Sus scrofa: one gene and its partners. The protein of the gene in region 1 interacts with the protein of each later gene in a pairwise test. Links are inferred from orthologs where the notes say so. Each region holds a gene or a part of one and is shown on either strand. Other genes may lie near its edges.

Region 1 (6,086 bases):
ATTACTGAAGATTTTAGGTCTTTTAAATGTAATTAAACTTGGTGAAAGTTGGTAGTTAGAACAAGGATTAAAAGCTAACCCTAACCCTAACCCTAAGAGATCCTAACTCTGAGGAGAGCAGAAGGAGTGGGGATGCCAGTGAGGGAGGCCATGCTTTTCTATGAAACTGGTAAGCTCTAGGTACTGGGTTGGGATAAAAAAAACTTTATCTACAGCCAAAGCAGATCAAAGCACATCTGAAATTTTCCTGTGTATTCCTGACCTGACCTGTCTTTACCTTTTTCTGTTATTCTAGCAAACTATTAAATTGTTTCTAGTTCATAAACTTAGAAGCATTTTTGGAGTGCCCACTTTACAGCAGGCATCTGTGTAAGGCAACAGGAATAAAAAGATGAATAGAACACTGTCTATGTCTTAGAAAAGCTCAATGATGGGTAATTTTGCAGAGAGTCGATAGGATACTGACATAAAAACAATTATAACACCTAGATGATTAAGACCACTAATAAAAGTATGGACTAAGTACTATGAAAGCATTAAAAAATGAAAAAAATAAAGCATCACAGAGGCAACATTTAGGCTGGAATTTAAGGAGTAACAAAAACCTGGCCAGTAAAAAGGGAGAAATATATTCTAAGAAGAAATAGCACAAGCAGAGATACTGTGGTAGGGGTCATGGGAGGGAAATGATACCAGAACAGTAGGAGAAGGCCAGTGATAGGCCTCCTATATCACGCTAAGTTGTTTAACTTGCAGGTGACAAAGAGCCCCTGAAAGATGTTAAACAGGGAAGTAATATAACTGAATTTATGTTTCAGAAAATTAAGTCTGGTGGTCATGAGGAAGGTAAACTTGAGAGAGCTAGAGGCAGATAAACTAGTTTTATGATTATTTCAATAGTCATGAGGAATGACGAGGGCCTGAACTAATACAATTCACTAGGGAAGAGGGCGAGGAAATCAGGAGATACTCAGGCAACAGATAATAGAGACTGATGGTAAAGTGAATATGAATCATAAGAAAGAGTGAGGGAACAAGGGCAGTGCTAAAACTGCTGAACTCTTCATGGAGACAGGAGAGACAGGAAAATGGGAGGGCTTTATTTTCAGGATAGAAATTTTTAACCAAAACAAACAAACAAACAAACAAACAAAAACCTATGACAACACACAGAAAAGAGTGATTTAACAAACCAAAAAGTTGAAGAAAATTTTGTAGAGAAAAGGCAATTGAACTAATCCTGCTAATTTGATGAATATGATGATACTACTGATAAAATTTATACAATGCTTATAATAAAGTAACTGGTACTAAATTAGGCATTTTTACATGACATCCAGTTTATTCCCACATCAACTTTCCCTGTGAAGCCCTGGGCAATGGTCTAAATATTTTAACTGAAAAACTTTTGCTTCTAGGGGATAAGAAATTTGTCCTAAATCTCAGAGATAACAAGAAAGCAGAGATTCAAACATAGGTCTGGCTGATTGACGACGAAGCTTGCCTCTATCTTCTATGCTGCAGTGCATCTCATAGGATGAATATGTTTATCATGAGGGGAAAGGGCAAAAGGCTCCAAGCAGAGAGATTAATGTATATAAAGGCATTTAGCCTCGAAGGTAGTGAGTGCCCTTCTGAGGAATGAGATAGTGCATATGAGAGAAGTAATAAGAGAAGGAGGGCCTATGCAACACACACTACTCTCAAAGCATCACATGTACAATCTCATCTAATTCTTACAACATTAGGAGATAGGAGTATTACTGTCCACATACTATTGTCCACATCAGCACAGTGTTTTAAAATGTCTAAGTTCACACACTTATGCATTGTGAATCCAGAGACTGAGCTTTTAAATTACCATGGTATACTGCTGAAGATACACAAGCATCTTATTTTACCATGATCATATATAGTTTTATAATAGAGTATAATTAGAAGTGGAGTGTTGAATTTAATACTTAGGCAATTACTGGTAATCTTTATTTTATTTTATTTTTTGTCTTTTTGCCTTTTCTAGGGCCGCTCTCACGGCATATGGAGATTCCCAGGCTAGGGGTCCAATCGGAGCTGTAGCCACCGGCCTATGCCAGAGCCACAGCAACAAGGGATCCAAGCCGCGTCTGCAATCTACACCACAGCTCACAGCAATGCCGAACTCTTAACCCACTGAGCAAGGGCAGGGATTGAACCTGCAACCCCATGGTCCCTAGTTGGATTCGTTAACCACTGCGCCACAATGGGAACTCCCAATTACTGGTAATCTTTCATCTAGGTCTGACTGCCAGAAATCAGAATAAAAGATTTAACATTTAAATTAAAACTTAACATTTAATTCTAAGAAAAGACATTAATTGTTGCACTTAAACTCTGTCCATGGATTGTCCATGCCATTTCCATGAAAAAAGTCTTGATTTGTCTGTTGTTAAATGTGAAAAATAAGAACAGTATAGTGAGTTTTTCAAAAGGTTAAACTTATTTAAAGTATTATCTGAGAAAATGTTATTTTTATTTCTTGGGGTGTAAAGTTATATCTTTCACAAAATAAAACTGATAGCTGATGAGACAAAAAAAAGTTGACAACATTTATAAATATTTTTTTTTAGAAATCTAATTGCTCTCTGGGAAACACTGTTTTAGGGAGTTTTAGTTATGTAGAGAAATTAAAGGATTACATATAAAAAAAGTTGAAATTTTTAAGTATTTGTAGTCTTAAAGCAAATAGAGCTAAATCAGATCTTAACTGTCAAAAGTTACTGATCTATAGTTTACAATGAAATGAGCTCTACCTATATATATATATCTTGGTGTTCGTAGAATGTTAATATACATTGTGAATAACTTGATATAGTTTCTGACTGAATATAAATTTAATGTTTACTTTTTTTAATTTTAGAATTTTTATTATTATTTTTTGGGGGGCTGTGCCTGCAGCACATGGAAATTCCTGGGCCAGGGATCAAACCCATGCCGTAGCAGCAACCCAGGCCATTGCAGTGACAATACTGGATCTTTAAACTGCTATAAGAGAACTCCTTTTATAAAAACCTATAAAAAACATAATACCATAAATCATAAGTTTCAAGGTACATACATTGATAATAAAGATTAATATGCATAATTCCTAATCTGGTTTAAAACAGTCTCAATTATATATTTACCTGATCTTGGGCTATTAATCAAAATATAATTTCAAGGATCCTGCGGGAATGCTTGAGATGACTTATTTTCAATAAAAAGTAGTGAGAAGTAAGAACTTCTTCATACTATAAAACTGAAAAAAACTTAAGGAAAAAAGTATGTCTTAGAAATTGAATGTGATTATGTGTGTGAATGACAAAATGCTGTTAATAAGTAAAGAAGCACTCAATTAAAATTACAAGTTCTTTTATATTAAAGCTGCCTTAGAAAATTTTGCTAGAGTATTCGAGTCCCATAAATTAACAAATGACTTCTTTGATAAGTTATGTTAATGTTTTGCTGGCTATCATTAAAGACTTATGATTATGCAGCTTTACTGAAGCTTTAATAAAGACACAAAGATTACTGAAAATAAACAACTATAATCACATACTTTGAAAAGCTGTATTGAATTCTTCAGAAGAGGAACATAAGAAAATTAATTTCACTGTCCTGGATTCTATGAGCTAGAGGTCTCAGACTGAAAGGTCATAGATGATCTCAACCCAAGCAGGATTATTGTGAAGCTAAATGAGGAAAGCTGGCAACTTGACTGCCTCTTCCCATTGCTAATAACTACCTATTTCTCATGAAACAATTTTAATCATATGGCCTGAATGAACTCATGAAGATCACTTATTAAATAAAGATGTTTATCCTAAATAGTACCTGTGATTCCCAAGTAAATGACTTTTGACCCCAAATATGGATATGACAGGCACTCTAAAAAAGTTCATCTGGCTCAATCTACTTTTGTCTTCAACTATTAACAGTATGCATAATAAATAATATATGATTTAGTTGCTAAAAGATAGCACTTTTGTTCTTTTTTGTTTCATGCTTTTGAAATTATGCAAGGTCATTTCACTTACTTCTGAACTTTGTCATTGGCTGCTCGGGAGGCCTCCACGGTGTGCTGAAGCTCTAATTCCATGTTTGCTCGATCTGTCAGAGCTTGCTGCAGTTGGATAGATAGTTCGTCATTTTGTTGTTGAGTGATGGAAACAATGTTCTCTCTGTTTTTCAAAGCTTCTTCATAGGTACTAAGGGTATGGTTAAACTGATCCTTCAGACTTTCTTCTTGGGATAAGGATTTGTGTAAACTGAGAAAATATAAAAATAAATAATGTAAACATAAATAGGGAGGCTGACTGACCAATAACTATTTGACAAAAATCTCCAGTTAGAAACATCCACTTCTAAAAATCAATAAAGACATACTTAAATGGGCAAATGAAAATAATTTTTGTATGACAATATTACGCTTGATAATTATCCATTTCTCTGCTTTTAGGCTGAAAGCTACCCAGACAAATGATTAGCTTTGCTATCAAAGCCTACACAAAGTTGCTGCAAGATGTTAATTATATCAGTGTAAATATTACATTCAATTTTCTTTAAAAGTAATAGCAAAGAATTACAAAATAAAGTATCTCTAGGTAAATAAAAGAATATAATAAGCTGACTGCAAAGAAGTGAGAAGTAAGAGAACAGGCATCAGTTTAGTAGATCCAGGGTCTATTTGGCTGAACACTTAATGAGAATGAATGAGGTTTGTACAAATACTGATCAGCCTTATACAGGGCATTTTCTACTTGTCACAGTTGAGATATAAATGAAGTTAAAATCACTACTCAGGCGGCACAGAAATAATATGTATTCAGATATATTTTCTTTTTGTTAATGAATCTTATGCCAAATACATGTGCTCATTAAGTCACACAGAGAAACAGCATATAAATTAAGACTAAATGAATGCAGAAGAAAATGCAGACAAATAGAATCCTAAAATGCTAAAGGTCAAATCTTTGATATGTCATTACACCTACCACCTGAGGTTATTTTGAAATGGCACCAAGCACCTCACTCAATTAAATAAAGACATTTTGAAAATATAAATATTTAATAAGGGAAATTTAAAATCCACACAGGAGATGTTCTTTTTTTATTAAATAAAATCATTTCAGTATATGCATACAAAAGAAATGTCGACGGGAGACTTTAAGTAAAACTACCTAACTATATAATACAGATTGATAATATTGAGAGAAAGTAATATAATTCTTAAAGCTTCAAAGAGCTAGTCAGGAACTTTAACTCTGGCTGAATATCTAGTCATTTAATATCTACTTCATTTAAAACTGTTCAAACTAAAGTAATTTTAAATTTCTCCTTTTTGCTTAAGTAACCCGTAAGCCTCTCCAGTGTGCTCAGTTTGGAGATGTCACATGGAAATAAGAAGGACCTGAGACAGGGACAGTTAGCATACCAAAGGAAATCATTTAAGAATTAAAATTAGTCCCTAAGAAGAGAGAATGCTGCTAAACTGTGGTGAAGTGATTGCTATATATGAAAGAATAGTGTACAATGCCAGATTTGCAGAAAGCAAAAAAAAAAAAAAACCTTTCTTTAAGGTTATGCATCTAACCCATATTTGATTCTTGGTTCTAACAATCCATATGCCTAAAGGCTCCTGTCTCTTGTGCATTTGCCCATTATTTTCTCTGTCTTCTCATATTTTCTACATTCTTCCAACTTTAATTTCTTTCAGTCTGCTCTTTGCCTACTTCAAAGATGTAAGAAAGAAAGAAACAAAACAAACAGAACAAAAAAACCTTTAAAAAGTGTATGTTCTTTATTATCCTTAAATGTCAAATACATTTTAAATTACAAAAATTGCACAAATCTCAAGTATTTAGCTTGACAAAATGTAAAGAACAAAATACAGAACACTGAAGACTCCACTCCTCGCAGTTGATCCACTCTCCAAAAATAATCAGTAATCCAACACCTATCAAGATTAATATTGCATGTTTTTGAACTTTTTGTCTGACTTATTTTGCTTAATATAGTTTATGAAATTTATCCTGTTGCGCATTATTCATTTTTTAAAAATTCTATGATGT
Region 2 (6,086 bases), on another chromosome or scaffold:
ACTGATCCTCTGCAACACTAAACTTTCTTTTCCTTTACCTTTTCTGAATTTTTGTGTCTTTATTCTATTTTCTAGGAGATGTCATTGATTTTATTTTCCAGTTCTGATTTTTGAAATAGCAATCTGTTAGTTTTACGGCCGTAACACTAACTTCAATCTTTCTGAAGACACAAATGATATTTACTACTTTTTTCGTGTCTCCCCATCATCTCTATTTTTTGGAGTCAACTTTTCTGTTTATCTTGGTTTTTCTATTTATTTTGTAGGGCTTTTTGGAAATGCCTGGTGACCCTTAGCTTTCCAGTCACATTTATGCAAAAAGTAACATGTTTGGGTACGCTGTGTTTATGGGGTGCTTGTCCACCAACAGGTGCTGAGGGGGCAAAGCAAAAAGTGTTTTCTCTGGTCTTTTAATTCCTTTAGGAAAAAAAAAAAACACTCATATTTTATGCCTGAGGAAGAGATGCCTGGCTGCCAAATGCTGCCCCATCTCTTACTTCCGTAGCTGGCGTTCTGGAGCCCCGATCTCCTCCACAGAGCTGCACGGCAGACCTGCTCCTCCGGGCCGTGCTCCCCTCCCTCTGTCCTCTACGTGAGGGTTTCTCCAGCCCTGCCCCATGCATTCCCACTCGTGCAGCTGTTCTCCATCTTCCAGAAACTAGCTAAAATAACTTACCCATTGGTGACCTCTTGCCTGTTCACTTTGTCAGTGGGGGTGTCTGCCTTTTTCCCCCAAATGCCTTCAGTCTCATTTAAAACAAAAAACAACAACAACAAAAAAACCCGACTGAAGTATGGTTGATTTACAATATCATGTTAGTTTCAGGTGTACAGCACAGTGATTCAGATACATATTCATATATTTAGAGTCTCTCTCTATATATGAATATATATTTGAATATATATAGACTCTCTCTCTCTCTCTCTCTCTATATATATATATATATATTGTTTTCCAGATTTTTTCCCCTTATAGGTTGTTACAAAATATTGAAGTTTCCAGAGCAAGAAGGGACAAACTTGCGTATTATCATATTTTCCATCTTGTCTCCCTGATCTGCGTCCTGAGGTGTAGACTGTGGCTGTAGCTGACAGTACACATCTCTTCCCAGGCTCAAGCCAGTGGAGTGAGCCCCGTATCAGAGGACCAGGTTCTCTGCTGGGGCTGCTCCCAGCTGTGGCCACATAGAGTCCTGGATACAATGGCCCAGAGTCCTTGAAGGGTTAGCAGGGAACTCACGCAGGCCTAGCTTTAGGTGCAGTGCCCAGAAAGGCCCAAGTGCCCAAGAACCATGGTGCGTTTACCACTCTGGGGGTCATGCAACTTTTTCGAGGCTCCGATGAGAGCTGTGATCCACCCCCACCCTCCACCACACATACACTCAGAACTTTCTATACAATTGCAGGGGGTCCAGGGAACCTGAAGACCTACCACATATTCCGGAAGCCCAGGTTAAAGACCTCTGCCCTCTAAGTCCGAACTGACTTCAGGGACAGTGCAGTTGTGGGATGCTGGCCACAAACAAGAATGCTAAGTCTGCCTGGAACCTTTTCACAACCCTGGAACCAGCCCCCAGGCTGCGATCCTTAAAGGGTTGGTTTCCCAGACCCGCCTTGGATGTGACCCCAATTGTTTCTCTAGGTTTAGGGCCCTGACCCTTTAAGGCAGAGGAGTTGGGGTGAATCCTAACTCGAGGGAAGAATACATCCCAGGAGGGTGGCGAACAGCCTCCTGAGTCACATCAGCATTCTCCTTCTGGGGCACAGTGCTAAGCACAGGCCTTTCTTAGTTTTCTTAGCCAAATGTCAGAAACAGAAGCAAGAAAGCCAGTCCAGATATCTTTCTGCGGGGACTAAAACCAAACCAAACCAGAGAACAGCAAAGGCAGCAGTTTCTGGATTTCCCAGGGAGGAGCTTACTGTGAGGATTCCTCCATCCGGGCTGTTCAGCAGGGACAGGCACTTCCGACTCACCTCCATGGCCCACACCTACAGGACAGGAAGAGGGAGAGGAGTCTGCCTGCCCTGGTCATGGTCAGGGTCATTGGTCATCTGCACCTCCCCTCTGAGTGCTCACGTGCAACCGACCCCTCCCGCTCTGTCCTCACCACCGCCTGGCCACATCTGTCTGTATTTCCTTCATAGCATCTTCTATTGCTCTCATTTCTTTCCCACGTCCATCTTCCCCAAGTGCAGGGCGAGGCCTTGAGAGCGGGGACCACGTCATATTTGACCTTGCAAATGCTGAGCCAGCACTGTGCTCAGCACCCTGGCTGCTCAGCTGGTTTTCAGAATGAGTACCTGATGGGGCAGCTCAGGCATCCCTCAGCAGAGCAGGGACAGAGTGTGTGCCCAGCTCTCCCCACTTTCACTGCCGGCATCTGAGTCCATGAGCTCCTGTTCTCTTTGTGGCAGTGAGGTCAGGTCTATGCACCAGAAGGAGTTAAGGCAGGGAGGAAAGAATGCTGTACCTCAGAAACCAAGGAGGGCTGAAGACACAAGTTCATCATGAGTCCCAGGAGGGTATACATGACTTCTCTGAACAGGTCCATGTCCTCTTCGCACTTGGCCTTTAGAAACAAAACAGGGTGATCAATGACCTTCCTGCAGGTTTCCATGGTTTCAGCATCACGCACACTCCCTAAATTGACAATGTCTTGAATCTAAGTGACACTGGAAGATCAGACACTGGTTTATGAGTTAGCATCAGGCCAGGAGACTGGCACAGAGTGTCCAGTGCCTCTGACATGCAATGTGGCTTGGCTGGGTCCTGGGATCACACTGCAGAGGGAGCTGCTGACATGGGTGCTCAAGCCAGCTCCACAGAAAACCTGTCCAACCTCTCCGGAGTGGAGGAGACCTGTTCTGGAGGAATCCTTCAGGCCAGCTGCCCACCAAACCTACAGTCACAGCGGGATAAGCCACTGGCCCCAGTCCCCTCAAGCAGAAGTTTTGGAAAGGCCAGATAATTAAGAAGAAGGCAACTCCCCCAAAGCAGGTAAAAGACCAGCTCTGAACAGGAAAGCTAAAATACCATGAGCCCCAAGCAGGCATCCCCGAATTCCTCAGAGGCAAACAGCTGTCTTCGGGCAGCAGGCTCGGCGCTGAGGTTGCCCAGGATGGCAATGCACTGGCAGAGGGCTGACGTGCTGGTGACCCTGGGATCTCTCTTCTAAAAGGGAATGAAGAGAAAGCGAATCTGTGGAGAGCAGACAAATGATGCCAGAATAATCTCTAGAGGCATCCATCCCTCCCTCCCCAAGGTGTCTGGGGACCAGACAGCGTGAGGTCACGCGGGGGCATCGATGGGGTCACACTGGCCATGGGAAGGTGGCACACAGAGGGGCAGACCCCGAAGCACTTGGCGTGGAACCGGGAGGCCCAGGGCTTAATCCCAGTGACTCTGCCAACCAGCAGGGGCCACTGGGGCAAGTCCTGTCCCCTCTCAGAGCTTCCCTTTCCCCAGCTGCAAAATATTGGGGGTGTTGATATGCTCTCCAAGGTCCCTGAAATTTCTGGGGCTCGCCAGGGACAGCATGCAGTCACAGCGTGCTCTCCTGGAGGACCCGTCCCCTGCTGAGTTTCTCCCTCATCAGCTGTGAGCACCACCCCTGCCCGCTGACCGCGATGACTTCTGTTCAGGGGACGGGGTGGCATGTCACACCGAGGATGGGACTTGGGTCAGAGGGGACGATGGAGACAGACTAACTCTCCACCCTTGCCCCCTGGAGCCCCAGTGTCGCGGTCCTCCCATGTCCCCAGCCCGGTCCACATGCTGCCTCCACCCGTCCCCACTGCAGCTGTTTCAATAACCAAGCCTTGTGTAAATTCCAGCTGTGGATAGATGACAAAGCAACCCAGGAGGCCACAGGAGTTCTGGAGGGTAAACTGTGTTTAAACAGCCTTGTTCGTGCTCCCGAGTGGGTCCGTCACAGGTGATAAATGAGGGCCTGCTCACCAGCACGGCTGCCAGCGCAGGGAGCGCACCTGGAAGGCTGGCTTGGAACCAAACGTGGAACCTGTCACGAGAACATTAGTTGTGATGTATTTCTCCAGCATTCAAACTTTAACATAAATACAGCGTCTCGGGTACTGGGGCAGCCTGGCAACCCCCCGGCCCTCTTGATCTGCCCCTGCGTAGATGATTCATTTGGAACCAAAAAATGTCGCTGGGTAGGTGATGTGGCTTTAATTTTTCTAAGCCTGAGGACTTGCCTTCAATGTTAAACAAGAGATCTCAGAGGGCAGCTCTCTTAGAAGCTGCCAGAATCCCTAGGTTTCTGCTGAACTGACCTACCACCACTCCTGCCCCCGACCTGCTGAGTCTATATGTGCTGTGCAAACAGGAGGCATGGTGTGAGTGTGTTTACGTGTCACAGCCGCGAAGAGGGCCCCGAGGTACACACACACCTCCTCCCACTAGAGTGGCTAGTGTACGTTCCCGGCCCATGCTGATGCTGGCTACCAGTATAAGCAGCTCTCACTTATCGTGTGACGGTTTCTAAGTAAGACACCTAAGATTGGTGAGAAAATTAAAAACAAACAAACAAACAAACAAAAAAAAACCCGAGGAGTTCCCGTTGTGGCTCAGTGGGTTAAGAACCAGACCAGTATCCACAAAGACGCAGGTTCGATCCCTGGCCTCACTCAGTGGGTTAAGGATCCCGCATTGCTGCAAGCTGCAGTGTAGGTTGCAGAGGCAGCTCAGATGTGGCATTGCTGTGGCTGTGGTGTAGGTTGGCAGCTGCAGCTCTGTTTCAACCCCTAGCCTGGGAACTTCCGTATGTCACAAAAAGAAAGAAAAAAAAATTTTTTTAAAAACCTAAGAGTTACGAAAATCTACGACCTTTACTGTCTTCCCCAGCAGCAGCTAAGCAAAGAAGAAAAAGTTGGGGGGAAAGTAACTCATAAGGCCACTGACAGCCCAGGGGGCTCTACCTGGTTACTGTGTGTCCCCCCCCTTTCCCTCGCTCCCTTTCTCACTTATTCAACACGTGTCTGCCAGGCGGTTCCTACCAGTCACTGATGAGGGGAAAAGCTTCACTGACACGTAGTAGGTTTGCTACTGGGAGGGGTGCTATTCTAAGTACATTACTGCTTCCAAGCGCACTGGGGGCCAGGTCCCCTGCACCCAGAGGGACTGGAACGGGAGCGGCTGACCACAGCCCCTGCACATCAGCCCTCCTGCCCAGTGACCTGGTGATGCTCGGCTGGCTGAGCCTCCTGTGCGCTGCACAATTTAGAACAGACAGTTTGACAAAAGTGGACGAAGTATCAATTTCCCGCAATAAAAACTAACCTCTCTTCCAGAGCCAAGTCTGTGAGTAGTGCCATGGCTGAGTTGGCCTTCTTCTCTGAGAAATCAAGAAATGACACCAGGGCTTCCAACAACCTGCAAAATTCACGACCCCCTCAGAGTGGCCAGGCCTCCTGTCGACGGCACCCAACAGGGAGGCCTGGCACGGAGACCAGGAAGGACTCTGCCCCTGGGGGAAATAAGCTGCCCCCTGGCAGCCCAGCCCCTTGCCCACCCCCATGAGACAGACACCCTCCCATGGAAATGGCTCTACCACTTAACAGGAGGTCCTGGAGGCGGGGGGGCGGTGAACAATTTTAACCAAAGTTCAGATGCTGATTGATTATCAGGTGCTGACTTGGAAGGAATCTCTGGTGCCTCTGCCGTGTGACTCTGGCTCGGTCAAGTTGAATCACATAAATGACATCTAATTGGCATGCTTACTAATCTGCTGATGACTAAGTGGGAGGGCACCCTAATGAAGTGGGGTGACGGAATCAAGATTTAACAAGATTTTGACAGGTTGCTGAATATATCAGATGAAATTTAAGAGCATTAAACTCAAAGTCCTTTTACTTAGAGCTGGAAATTCTACCCAAGCAAGAGAACTGGGAGACCTGGTTTATAACTGACTCAAGTGAAAAAGACTTAAGGGTTTTCAGCCAACTGCAAACCCAGTATGAGCAAACAGTCAGGTGCAGCTGTCCCCAAAAGGTCACACAATCTCAGGCTGCCTGAAGGGACTGGCTGGTACCAGGACAATGGGGGTAGGAGCCATTGGTGCATCTGG
Region 3 (5,460 bases), on another chromosome or scaffold:
AGCCTGGGAACCTCCATATGCCGTGGGAGGGGCCCTAGAAAAGGCGCAAGCACACACACACACACAGACAAATCAGTCACAAATGGAAATAACCAGGCTTTAACCATCTTCCCTCTTCAGAAGTCCTTTATATTAACATTTGCTACGTGAGTCTCTCCTGTACTGTTCCTAACCAGTAGTGAATAGCTTATGCTTAGTTACCTATGATACCTTGGTATAGGGGTCCATTTCAGATTAGTCTGTTTATAACTATTTCAGAATATAGCAGAACTGACAGTTAACTTAATTGGATCCTCAGCTAGCTACTGTCAGTGAAACTTTAGATTGCGTCACTACTTCTGCACAGACACCTATGCTCAGACATCACCCATTTTTAGGATTTCTAGGATTTCTAGTTTTTAAAGATTTAAGTCTCTTCTGACATCACATAATATGCCATAGATCCAAATCAAATTTTATACTTAAACTTGCTCTGAAATGGCTCTGGGCATAGATGCATACACATAATAAACTATACATGCCCATGATTCGGGAGAAGGGGTAACAAAATATTAGCTCTACATCATTAAAATTGGGTCAGACATATGAGCTTATTCACCTCTGTTCTTGCTTGGTCTTTGCATTGTCTTTAGTACAGTCTTGTTAACTGGTTTTGAGATCTAACTAGGCAGTATAGGACAAACTCTATCTAGAAATGACCGTTACTTGTTATACACATTAAATATGCATAAGAACTCATCTGTCCAAATTTCAAGGTCCACTAAATATGTTTTGAATTAAACTGTATCTCATTGTAGTAGTTGCTTTAGATATGTACACTTTCATTTATAAAGCCATATTAGTTTAAGGAAACTCCACCTATACATTTGGAGATCTATTGGTATGGAAGCCAAGACTTGTTACCTTAGGCAGAAATGTTACGAGCAATCCACTTTTGCCCTGGCCCTAATCTTCACCACAGAACCTGGGGATCAAGAATCTGAGTAGAAGTATCTGCCCTCATCTGGTCTTCTCCCTGTCCCCTCCTCTCCATCTAATCAATAGAGCCTGTGGGGCCCGGATAGTCAGCCGACCAGAGGAACTAAGAGAAGAAGATATTGGGACAGGAGCAGGCCTGTTGGAAATCAAGAAAATTGGAGATGAGTACTTTACATTCATTACTGAGTGTAAAGACCCCAAAGCCTGTACCATTCTCCTCCGGGGGGCCAGCAAAGAGATTCTCTCGGTGAGTCAGCCTTGGAAGTGTGACTGAATGAACTAGGTCATTCTGTTTCTTGAGAGTTTCCCAGAGGTAATCATCCTGTTGTCCATTTGTTTTTTACTGTTTAAAAAAAAAGTTTTTTAAACATAAAGTTTACCAGAGTTCCTGTCGTGGCTCAGTGGTTAACGAATCCAACTGGGAACCATGAGGTTGTGGGTTCAATCCCTGGCCTTGCTCAGTGGGTAAAGATTCTGGCATTGCCGTGAGCTGCGGTGTAGGTTGCAGACGAAGCTCGGATCCCACGTTGCTGTGGCTGTGGCTGTGGCTCAGGCCGGCAGCTACAGCTCCAACTGGACCCCTAGCCTGGGAACCTCATAGGCCTCAGGAGCGGCCCTATAGAGCCAAAAAGCCAAAAAAAATTTTAAAATATATCATCTTAACCACTTTTTTTACGTGTACGGTTCAGTGGTGTTAAGTACATTCACATTTTCATGCAACAGATTCTCAGAACTTTTTTATCTTGAAAAAACGAGGCACTATACCCATTGAACAATGATTCAGTTATTTCCCCATCCCATACCGAACACTGCTTCCCTATTTTTACGTTGAAGTTATAAATACTACTTTTCTTTCCACTGAGTGAGGTTATTAAGTAACTTAGCCAAGGCACATAGCTAGTAAGTAGAGAGTTTCAGAGTTGCCACTACACTGCAGCCTCCTAGAGTACACAACTAGACAGGATAAGAACAGGGGTATAGCTCTGTCAAGCACAGTGAACAAAGCCTGGGTAAATAGCATCTGCCCTGCCCAAAAGGTTTGAAAGACCTTTCTTAGTTTGCCCTCCTTGGTTTATCAAACTTGGCAGTCAGGAAGTCCCTGGTGCCTCTGACTTGTCCCTGACTCATCAGGCTTTGGTGTTATGGTGTCTGTTTGCTTTCCCAAGGAAGTAGAACGCAACCTCCAGGATGCCATGCAAGTGTGCCGCAATGTTCTCCTGGACCCTCAGCTCGTGCCAGGGGGTGGGGCTTCTGAGATGGCTGTGGCTCATGCCTTGACAGAAAAATCCAAGGCGATGACTGGTGTGGAACAATGGCCATATCGGGCTGTTGCCCAGGCCCTGGAGGTCATTCCTCGTACCCTTATCCAGAACTGTGGGGCCAGCACCATCCGTTTACTTACCTCCCTTCGGGTGAGTTCTTTTCCGTGCTTTTCTCTTGATGGGGTAGGGAAAGCTGTATTTTTAACCTAAGAGGATGATTTGTGTCTGTCTTTTCTGGTTTTCCTTGTAGCTTGTTCCCTTAAAAACATCTTCTCTTTCTTAATTTTTGACTTGATGTCATTGCCATTTCCTCTTGTCTGTACCTTATAATCCAGTATAGTTGATTTTTATCTAATGGTCTCTACCAGGTTATTTGTTCCTAGTATTTTCCCCTTTAACTATGTTTGTTCCAACCATAGGCCAAGCACACCCAGGAGAATTGTGAGACCTGGGGTGTGAATGGTGAGACAGGTACTCTGGTGGACATGAAAGAACTGGGCATCTGGGAACCATTGGCTGTAAAGCTACAAACGTACAAGACTGCAGTGGAGGTGAGGCACTCTAAGACATGCTATGCTGTTTATTTCCAGATTACCAGAAAACTGTGTTTGATCCAGTCTTGAAAGGGGAGGGATAGAAGGCAGAGTATTCCACAAAAGATCTCTCAAGGAATTCCATCCCCCTACTTATTAGCTTTAGCTCATTTAAAAATCAAGATGGAGTTCCCATCGTGGTTCAGTGGTTAATGAACCCGACTAGCATCCATGAGGACTCAGGTTCAATCCCTGGCATCACTCACTGGGTTAAGGATCCAGCATTGCCGTGAGCTGTGGTGTAGGTCGCAGACGCGGCTTGGATCCCGAGTTGCTGTGGCTGTGGTGTAGGCTGGCGGCTACAGCTCCAATTGATCCCTAGCTTGGGAACCTCCATATGCCATGGGTGCAGCCCTTAAAGGACAAAAAAAAAAACAAAGTAACATGGCACAAGCTGCTTCCCTTGCTTTGGGAGAACTGCATTTTACATTCAGGATTCTGAAAGAGTAGATTTCAGATAAAATGGTAATTATGTAGGAGGAGCTAGGTGATGTGTCTAAATGAAAACAAGTGTCCTTTCCTTTGCTGACCTCTTTGGGGCTGTGGTTATTCTCCTAGACGGCAGTCCTGCTGCTGCGGATTGATGACATCGTCTCAGGCCACAAAAAGAAGGGTGACGACCAGAGCCGGCAAGGTGGGGCTCCTGATGCTGGCCAGGAGTGAGCAGTGGGCAAGGCGACCTCAACGCACAGAGCCAACAGAGTCTCCCCCTTCCCTGAGCCAGACTGCCAGGGACACTGTGGACGTCTTTGTTTGGAAGGGATCAGTTCAAGGGGCAGCCCAGTCCCTTTCTGTCCCAGCTCAGTTTGCAAAAGGCACTGACATGTAATTCTTCTCTATTGTAAGCTTTCCATTTAGTTTGCTTCCGATGATTAAATCTAAGTCATTTGAGACAGTTGTTATGTGTTTTTCAACCTTGGGCCATATTTCTGCCTCCTGGCAAGGAGGGAGGAAGCAAAAAACCTTACTGGAGAGAGAGAGATGGGAATGAGGTCATTAAGTATCTTTCCCTTTTTGAGGGGGTATTCACACTTCTTAGTAGGGACTGGTTGGGAGGACTCTTGGATTTCAAAGGAGGATATTGGAAAGCTTAAAGAAACACCACTTTGCATTCACCACCCAAAGAACAGGAGGAACCTGTCCAAACCATGGGTGTTCATTGTATGTGATTGTGTAGAGCAACACCCAGTATGTGCTAGGGTTTAGGCATTTATTCTGAAGAACCTAGAACATCTTTTTTTCTTTTTTTTATTATATCCTATAGCTTTTCAGAATCCTTCCTATCTAAAATTTATCTCTGCCCCTTCCCAGTGTTCTTCCTGATTCCAATCTTTTCTGGCTTATTTTCCCGGCATGCTTGTGTCCAGTAGGACTTTGACTTTCCCTGCTAGCAGAAACAAAAGATTTAAATCTCAGTCTGTGCTTTGTTTTTAGCAAGACAGAAAAATCTTATATTGACCCTGAGGTGCTCGTGGTGGCTAGGTGGAGCTAGCCTTTGATTTCTTCAGAGTCCTTCCTCCTGACTACTGGGCCTTCCATTGTCCCCTTTGTCCTTATGACTCATGCAGTCAGCCTGTATCTCCTAACCTGACCGCAGGATTTAATGTTAAATCTTGAATACTAGTTAGAATAATAGCACACAGTGCCTGTTATGTGGAAGATACATTCTGGTCACTTTGCATATGTTAGCTAATCCTTCCCAAGGACCCTATAAGATAGGTAATAACCCTAGTTTGTGTTGGGTAATCTAAAACATAAAGTAGATTGTTCAAGGGTCACAAAGTTGGTAAATGGCAGACCTGGAATTACTCTGTAGGCAGTCTTTGGAAGCCACGCATTTACAGCTGGCTGTGCTGACTGAATGGAGGTGTGCTGTGGAAAGGGGTCTCGGGAGACTTTCTGCTCTGTTGATGACTAGTATTTAGCTTTCTGCTTAACTTTGTCCAAAGTCTCAGCTTTTCCTCTTTGAGGGTCTCTGAAATAAGCCTACTACCTACCTTTTGCTGAAATCCATCTATGCTTGTATTAATTCCCTCAGAGCTTTAAGACCTTAAAAAATGATAATGGGTTAATTCTCAAGTAAATAAAAAGATCTTGGGAGTTCCCATCGTGGCTCAACAGAAACAAATCTGGCCAGGATCCACGAGGATGCAGGTTCGATCCTTGGCCTTGCTCAGTGGGTTAAGGACGTGGCTTTGCTGTGAGCTGTGGTGTAGGTCTTGTATGCAGCTCAGATCCCTTGTGGCTGTGGCTGTGGTGTAGGCTGGAGGCTACAGCTCCAATTTAACTCCTAGCCTGTGAATTTCCATATGTAGAAGGCCCTAAAAAAACAAAAAGATACTGAAGAAATAGCTCCTGCAATACTTGAGAAATTTTAGAGGAAGGAATTGCCTCTTGTTCCTTAGACTTTTAGAGGCCCGTTCTGGTTTTAGCTCTAATGGTTAAGCACTTGGATAAGAACGTAGTAGTCTTCCCTGCTATCATCATTGCCTTTTTTTTTTTAAGCACATGTGATGGTCCTGAATGTGTGAAAATTCCTTCTGGCATGTTAGATCAGTCTGTACTCAAGCCTAGCTTTCAAAGCCCGTTTTTGCTGTTCAAAGCTTAAATTTAACATAGTGATTAAA

The links. The genes of interacting proteins can lie anywhere in the genome.
Region 2: the proteins of MIPOL1 (region 1) and TTC12 interact in binary tests that used the Homo sapiens proteins (3 or more experiments, as listed by UniProt). The two-hybrid records come from large-scale screens. The link is inferred for Sus scrofa from reciprocal best matches to the Homo sapiens genes MIPOL1 and TTC12.
Region 3: the proteins of MIPOL1 (region 1) and CCT3 interact in binary tests that used the Homo sapiens proteins (3 or more experiments, as listed by UniProt). The two-hybrid records come from large-scale screens. The link is inferred for Sus scrofa from reciprocal best matches to the Homo sapiens genes MIPOL1 and CCT3.

What each region holds. Positions count from the first base shown.
Region 1 is NC_010449.5:62,553,611-62,559,696, forward strand, and holds part of MIPOL1 (mirror-image polydactyly gene 1 protein), read right to left. Parts: intron 4,284-6,086; coding exon 4,053-4,283; intron 1-4,052.
Region 2 is NC_010451.4:41,022,031-41,028,116, reverse strand, and holds part of TTC12 (tetratricopeptide repeat protein 12), read right to left. Parts: intron 5,393-6,086; coding exon 5,300-5,392; intron 4,020-5,299; coding exon 3,959-4,019; intron 3,173-3,958; coding exon 3,035-3,172; intron 2,571-3,034; coding exon 2,472-2,570; intron 1,990-2,471; coding exon 1,921-1,989; intron 1-1,920. UniProt on the Homo sapiens protein: Cytoplasmic protein that plays a role in the proper assembly of dynein arm complexes in motile cilia in both respiratory cells and sperm flagella.
Region 3 is NC_010446.5:93,749,617-93,755,076, forward strand, and holds the end of CCT3 (T-complex protein 1 subunit gamma), read left to right. Parts: intron 1-1,044; coding exon 1,045-1,225; intron 1,226-2,144; coding exon 2,145-2,390; intron 2,391-2,659; coding exon 2,660-2,791; intron 2,792-3,391; coding exon 3,392-3,496; 3' UTR 3,497-3,724; downstream 3,725-5,460. UniProt on the Homo sapiens protein: Component of the chaperonin-containing T-complex (TRiC), a molecular chaperone complex that assists the folding of actin, tubulin and other proteins upon ATP hydrolysis.